2 linked regions of the Canis lupus familiaris genome follow. The protein of the gene in region 2 interacts with the protein of the main gene of each other region in a pairwise test. Links are inferred from orthologs where the notes say so. Each region holds a gene or a part of one and is shown on either strand. Other genes may lie near its edges.

What was found.
Region 1: the proteins of DZIP3 (region 2) and HNRNPF interact in binary tests that used the Homo sapiens proteins (3 or more experiments, as listed by UniProt). The two-hybrid records come from large-scale screens. The link is inferred for Canis lupus familiaris from reciprocal best matches to the Homo sapiens genes DZIP3 and HNRNPF.

Annotation. Positions count from the first base shown.
Region 1 is NC_049249.1:3,803,432-3,807,173, reverse strand, and holds the start of HNRNPF (heterogeneous nuclear ribonucleoprotein F), read right to left. Parts: upstream 2,490-3,742; 5' UTR 2,402-2,489; intron 2,088-2,401; exon of another isoform or gene 2,082-2,087; 5' UTR 2,017-2,081; intron 1,478-2,016; exon of another isoform or gene 1,333-1,477; intron 1-1,332.
Region 2 is NC_049254.1:14,355,974-14,359,715, forward strand, and holds the start of DZIP3 (E3 ubiquitin-protein ligase DZIP3), read left to right. Parts: upstream 1-1,079; 5' UTR 1,080-1,453; intron 1,454-1,568; 5' UTR 1,569-1,699; exon of another isoform or gene 1,700-1,723; intron 1,724-1,765; exon of another isoform or gene 1,766-1,958; intron 1,959-3,742. Other genes in the region: protein CIP2A, read right to left, coding at 848-949. UniProt on the Homo sapiens protein: E3 Ubiquitin ligase proteins mediate ubiquitination and subsequent proteasomal degradation of target proteins.

The sequences.
Region 1 (3,742 bases), on a different chromosome or scaffold from region 2:
AAATTTAAAAATTGCCAAAAAAATACCACAAAAACAATGTTAAAATTTTAAAAACTAGGGACGCCTAGGGGGGCTCAGCGGTTGAGGGTCTCTGCCTTCGGCTCAGGGCGTGATCCAAGGACCCAGGATCAAGTCCCACATCGGTCTCCCCCGGTCTCCCCGTGAGGAGCCTGCTTCTCCCTCTGCCTGTGTCTCTGCCTCTCATGAATAAATAAAATCTTTTTAAAAAATTATTTTAAAACCTAAAATAAAAAAGACCTAGTATGTAATAAATCTAATCAAATTACAGAAATGCATACAGGCACAAGAGATGACTAAAGATGGGCTTGCTTAAAGACCAGTAATTAGTAACATCAGCAACCTCTCCCAAACTTCATAAGTAGAAATTTACTCACTTCAAAATGAAGAATCTTGACTAGAAATTAACACTGAAAACATCACTTTTCACTGACATACCCCAACGCATTTTTTTGTCTAACCGGAGAACCCGAAGTATTTTCATTCTTACTAGAAATTCAGAAACCGTTAACCTTTAAAAAAATGACTGTAAGTAATAGAATTACATTTAAGATAGGGAATTTCGACCACGTTTTGAACTGAAAGAGTATCTGAAGTGTTCAGAGCTCTTCCAGCGCCACCAACTTCCGGAGACCTGAGGCGCGGCGTTAACCTTGGGCACCTCGGGGGCCCCCTTCCCGGCGGGCGGTTCCCCCCACTCAGCGAGCCGTAGCTCGCGGACCCCGCTCCCGCCACGCACGCGGCCGCGGGGCAGACAGGAGCCCGGACACCCCCAGGTAGCTGTGAGAGCTAAAGGAAGCACGTTCCTGCGTCCTGAGGCCTCGGGGGAAGGGAACTACTGCGAGGAGAGTCCGGCCGGCGGGCCCGGCCCGAGGGACGCGGGGCGGCGGGGGAGGGGGTTCCTGCTGGAGCTGGGGAAGGGGCTCTCCGGGGTCTGGGGATTTGTCCGGCGAGAACCTGAGAGCTCCTGAAGGGAACAGACCAACAGGGAGGGGCCTGTGGCCTCCTAACCCGGTCTATAAAAGACGGGGTCGGGCGAGTCCCCGGACTCTGCCGGCGTCACCAGGCCGCCCGGCGCCACTTTCAGGGACCCACGCGGGCACACCGAAGGTAGAGGGCGCAGCGCAAGCGCCGGCAGAGTCCAGAAGTTTCTTAGGCGCAGTCAAGAACCAGCAAAAAATACATTCAAGGATACAAAGAAATAAAGGGCAAGGGAAAAAGAAACGGCCGATTAAGCTCGCTCCGCGTAAGTGTGGTCACCCGGCAGAGATAACGAGAACCAAAGAGTTTCTACCCAAAAACCAGACACAATACCTCTAAAAGCAGGAGACAAAACGGAGACCGGCGCTCGGCACTCACACGCCACACCGAGAGGAAGAAAAGGCCTCAAAGACCGAAAGTGGAGGCTCAGCGAGCGGGAACGTGGGAGGGGGGAGGAGTCAGTTGCCAACCAGTCTGGTGCAACTCAACCACGTGAAAGTACTGCTTTCATTTTTAAATGAAGCCCCTCTCCCACGGTCGTCAGGTGCCCTCGCGCTATTTCTGGCAGGGCGCTCAAGCTCTGCTAACCCCGGAGGCCGCACCAGGCCTTTCCTCCCTCCCTGCCTCCCGCGGCCCTGAATCCCAGCCCAGCGGTCCAGTCCCCGAGGGGATGGCTCTTGATCTCAGGCCTGCCTCCCCGCACCCGCGATCTCAGTCCAGGGGTCCAGTCCCCGACTCTACGGCCGTGGACTTCTGACCCCACCTTCCGTGACCCCAATTCTCAGCCCCAGGGGGCCCAGTCCCTGACCTCAGCCCCTGCCTCTCCCGACCCCAACCCTCAGCCCCTGCGTGCCCAATGCCCATTCGGTCCCCGTGGGTGAGGCCCCTGACTTCAGACCTAGCCTCCCCCAAATCCGTATCCCAGCCCCGCCGCCCCCAGCCCAGAGGGCCCGGTTCTCGGTCCGTCCCAGTGGTGCGGCCCTCAGCCTCCGACCCGCCGCCCGTCCCGCCCCTCACCTCGGGCTCCGGGTCTCCACGCTCCCGCTCTTCACATCCGGCACCTCGATCGTCCCTCTGAGCACCTAGAGGAGGGTGGAACGCGGGGAACTTGGCAGTTGTAGCTGAGGCAGTTGAGGCTTGTTTACCATCACCATGGAAACCCCTGGCAGCGCGCCCTGGGCGGGGCCCCGAGGGGCGGGGCCTGGCGCGCGGCCGGCCCCGGCGCACAACTCCCGCCCGTCGGGCGCACGCGGCGTTTCCCGCAGCCCGCTTGCTCCGGGCTCGCCCAGTCCCCGCTCGGCCGCACCCCAGCACCCGAGGGCCGCTGCCCGGAGAGCCCGCGCCCCCACCCCACTTCCGGCTGCTGGCGTGACCGCCGGCCGCTTTCCCCGCGGAACCCCACCTTCTTCTCCAGGAAGACGCGGCGAAGGGCTACTTCCACCACGGAGCCGGAAGGACGCGAGGAGCGCGGCGGGGCGGGGCGGGGCCTCCGCGGCGTGCGTCCAGGGGCGGGGCCGCGAGGGCGCCATTGTGCCGCTCCCGGGGCGGAGCCAGGGATTGGTCTGCGGGGCGCGGGGCAGGGCCGGGGCCTGCGGAAGGGGACGCTGTGGAGAGGAGAGCCGCTGCCTCGCGCCAGCCCTTTCTCAGGGCGGGGGAGGGTCTGACCGCGGCAGCGTTGAGCTCCGGGAGATGCTGACTGGGAGAGTTCCCCCCCTAAACCGGGACCTCAAGGACTCCGGTATTGAAGATCAGCGTGAGAGAAAAAAAAGAGTAATTTCCTGCCAAGGAGAAAATAGGGAACCGAAAACAGCGAGACGGATAAAGGCGGCTCCGATTGCAGAATTTAGGGAAGGAGTAACATGTTCACTGAGGTTGCTCACATGTTGATTACTTGGGCTGAGGAGTCCCCGGTCTCTGAAGGTGACCCAGAAGACCCAAGGGAACACCTGAAACTAAAGGCTGGGTGGAAATGGCTTCCCAGCCTGAGAGCAGTGGAGACTTCTTGATGTGTTCTGGAGTTAGTAATTATCACCATTTTAATTTTTGGAGACTCTTTATAAAGAGGATGAGATCAAGGCATTCATCACAGGTTTCACAGAACAGATTATTTTAAAATCACTGGTTAAATTAAGGGAATGTTTGGAGCAGTGGCAGATTATGAGCGGATGACAGTAAAAAGCAGTTTGTCAAAAGCTGATTCTAGGAAAGAAAAATGGGAAAAGTGAAAGGAAGAGCTGTTAGAGGGGGTGAAAATGTACAAGGAGAAAATTAAAGCAAAATTACTGAAAATGAGTCCTACAAAAATCAGGTAGGTGTTCCCACAAAACTCCACAATGACTTCATCATAGCAGACTGTAGAAAAGTGGTTCTGGAGAGAGAATGCAAGCAGCCAATCTGAGGCAAATATTAAAACGGTAACAAAAAATAGTGCTTCAGAATTAAGGGACTGTGAAGCCAGGTCCAAGAAGATATGTTTATATAGTCCGTTAAGAGAGACTCAAGCTACACGGGCTCTTTGATCCCTTCGAGGGGCTCCCTGTTCATTATTGATCAACAATGCAATAATCCTTTTTTTTAAATTTTACTTATTTATTAATGAGAGAGAGAGACAGACAGAGGCACAGGCAGAGGGAGAAGCAGGCTCCAGGCAGGGAGCCCCACGTGGGGCTCCATCCTGGGTCTCCAGGATCAGGCCCTGAGCTGAAGACGGTGCTAAACCGCTGAGCCACCCGGGCTGCCCAAC
Region 2 (3,742 bases):
GGAATTGCACGAATATGCAATAAATGATAGGTTAAAAGCCTAAAATCAAATCGGAACACAGAAAGCTGTGGATAAGTGATCTAGATACAAATCAGTGGGAACTAATAGGAAAAAAATGAAAGCAATTTAGCAATATAGGTTTGAAAAATTTTGAGCAACAGATTTTGGTTCAAAACAAAACAAAACAAAACACAACACACCAGAGGGGCAGCCCAGGTGGCTCGGCGGTTTAGCGCCGCCTGCAGCCCAGGGCGTGATCCTGGAGACCGGGGATCGAGCCCCGCGTCGGGCTCCTGCATGGAGCCTGCTTCTCCCTCTGCCTCTCTGTGTCTCTCATGAATAAATGAATAAAAACTTAAAAAAAAAATAAAGCAATTTAGCAATATAGGTCTGAAAAATTCTGAGCAATAGATTTTGGTTTAAAACACACATAAAAAACAGGAGGGGCAGCCCTGGTGGCTCAGCGGTTTAGCGCCGCCTTCAGCCCAGGGCGTGATCCTGGAGTCGCGGGATCGGGTCCCACATCGGGCTCCCTGCATGGAGCCTGCTTCTCCCTCTGCCTGTGTCTCTGCCTCTCTCTCTCTCTGACTATCATAAATAAATAAAAATTAAAAAAAGAAAAAAAAGAGAAAGAAATGAAGAAAGACGTGCGGCTCCGAGCTCTCTCCACAACCAAACCCAAACAGCCGAATTTAGATTCCCCAACCCCCCGCCCCCGTCCCTCCTCGGACCCCGAGTAGCCGCCCCTCCCGTCCTCCCAGCGGGACGCGGAGGGCCCGCGGCAGGGTAGGCAGGTGGCTGGGCATTCACGGCCGACACTCGCCTCCCTCCCGGGAGCGCCCCTCACCTCCAAGTGCCGCAAAAGCTGGGTGGCATTCGCCTCCGACTTAACCGCTTTGTACTGGCTGATGGTCAGCAGCAGAGACTTCAGGCAGGCGGTGGAGTCCATGGGCGCTGCCGCCGCCCGCCCGCTCCGGCCGCCAGCTCTCGCCGCGCTTCTTTTTTTTGATTTTTTCCAGCTCCACCCCCTCACTCCCGAGGTTTCCGGTTCCGGTAGCGCTCCGGAAGTCCCTGGGCACCCTGGGGGAACCGCTCTCAGTGAAGAAAGGCGGGGGGGAGCGGGGGGGCGGGTCGAGGAGGCGTGCGGGTCCCCGGAGGGGGCTGAGCGCTGTCCTTCCAGAACCCCCTTCCCGCTCCCCACCCGGCCCTCGCTGGAGCCGAAAAGCCGCGAGGTTTCAGCTTCGAGATCGCGTGGAGGCGATCAATCTCGCGAGAAACGTGACTGCGGCTCAAACTTGCGAAGGGGCGGTTGGGCGCCGGCGGGGTCCCGGTTGCGCCGAGCTCTCGGTGTTGGTTCGTTTGCTCCTTCGGCCTTGCCGCGGGGTGACCGGCTTTTTCATTTGTGCGTCAGCGTCTACCTGAGAAATGGTCGCTTTTCCCTAGTCTAGACACGGTGAGGAGTTCTGAGGAGAATACGGGGCTCCGTACTGTGAGGCGGCCGGGGAGGGGCCTGTGGTTAAACTCTCCCCCACGTCCGCCCCGTCTCCTCAGGAATGTTTGTTTTTCAGAGCAAGCCTGTGGCCGTGGGATTCTGTGGCGCGGCCGTCCTGCCCTTGAGGTAGTCGTCCGGCTTCTCCCAGACAGCCAGCCCCGGGTGACTGCTGGGCCAGGCGTTGCTGCCGAGGGTGTTCCCACGAGCGTCAGTATTTTTTTTTTTTTTTTTGTAAGTGGAGGTATCTTATTATTACTATTTTTTTTTAATCCGGCGTGATCAATTGTTTTCCGAATCTCGGTGCCTGTGAACAGGGCACTTCGGTTTGCGGCGCTGTGATACGAGAGAATTCTTGTGCATGTGTGTAGACGGTGAACGAAGTAGCTGCTTCTGGAGCGTTCTCTCTGCCTGATGTCTGCTGACGTTGAATCGAGCCTTAAAAACCAGTCTGGAGAAATTGCTAAGAGTACATGTCCTTTTTATTTATTAATTTATTTGGCTTTTTTTTTCTTTTTAATTTTTACATGTCCTTTTTAACTAAATCATTCGTCATTAGTCTTTGTCAAGTCAAAGGAAATATTTTCTACATCACTCTTTAAAGGCAGTACTTCATACATTAAAACATTTAGCATCACTGTTTTTTTTTTTAAAGCGGTCCTTTTTATATCAAAACATTTTTAAATGTGAAGGTCTTAAAATAATAATGTAAAAATAATTGGGTGATTCATGTATCTATGGGTTCATTCATTCTGTAAACAATTGGTGATGTATGATTGAGGGTTAGAAGTGGCGAGAAAACAAAGATGAAGTATCCCCCTCCTGGGAAGCAACTGTCTAATTAGAGGAATGTACTAAATAGGGACTCCATAGGGAATCCACCTGAGTTCCGGAGGCTCCTGAGGTTATGTCAAAGAGCGATGCCAGGCTGTGTGCTGACAAACTCTAGTTCCACCTTTTACAATGTGACCATAAGGCAGACTCTTCACTGCTTCAGTTTCTCTCTTAGGTAAAATCCCAGCTGGCAGTAGTACCTGTTTAATAGGATAAGGTCGGTAATGAATGATTGATGATCGAGAGCCTGCAGTGAGCCTGCAGTGTACGAGGTACTTGTCTAGGCACTAGAAAGAAGATTTATTGAATAAAAAGTTCTATGTTGAGATTACATTCTAGTAGGGGTTAAAAAAAAAATGAGAGTGAGATGGAGAAAGAAAAAGTAGCAGAAATTCTTTTCCGAGAGTAAAAGTGTTTATGAAGAAGGGAGTTGGGTGGTCAGGATAGAGAAAGTGCTTCAAGGAGTTGAAGGACAGAGCCATGCTCTCCGGGGAGAGGGTCCTGAGGTGGGACTAGAAGGAAGTGTGTCACGGATGGCAAGGATGGATGCTGCACTGAATGGAGTAGAGAGCAAGGGTGAGCGTAGCAGGGAAAGTGAGGTCGTGTCAATTGGTGCAAACCATTACGGAATGAGTTAATCAACTTAAAAAATTTAGAGCGGTTGACTGGCATAATTCTGTTCCCAGCAGGTGTTAGTTACCTCCTGGTTCATTGGCAAATGCAGTGATAACAGGTTAATGTTAGACTTCTCAGTAATAATAACAAGTGCGTCATCTTCATACTTAATTCTGAGCCAAGGGAAGATGCCAAAGCTGCCAGTCATAAATGCCTTCTTTCTTTAAAACCTTGCACTTTAACTGAGGCAGTGATAGAAAATTTTCATTCTCTTCTGTAAGATATTCATCTTTAATATAAAATAGTGTCATTCTCAAAAATCTTCAAAAATTGACGATGGAAGTTTAGAAGGATGTACCACGATGGTAGCTGTGAGAAGCAATAAAGTATTGAGGCAGAGATACTCATATATCCTAATGTGAGAAACACAGAGCCTTATTTTAGGCCCACAAAATAAGAAGGAGGAGGAGATGAAGCTGGGTCCAGATGACTAAAGACCTTATTATTCTTGATCGTGAATTCAGTGATTGCTGGCTTAAAAATGGGGCCTTGATCTCTTTAGGGTTGTGCTTTAGGTTGATTACTCTCGCAGGTGGGTGAGCTATGATTTTGAGATAGATAAGGATAGAAGTAAGGAGGATGTTTAATTTGCTGCAGTCTTTCCAAAGGATTATCAGGATAATTGAAGTGGAAATAACAAAGAGGTGATGACAAATTTGAGAAATACAGATGAGGTGAAATAGGCAGGACTTAGTGACTCATTTCAGATGTGAAGAGGGATTTCACATTTCTGGTGTGAATGAT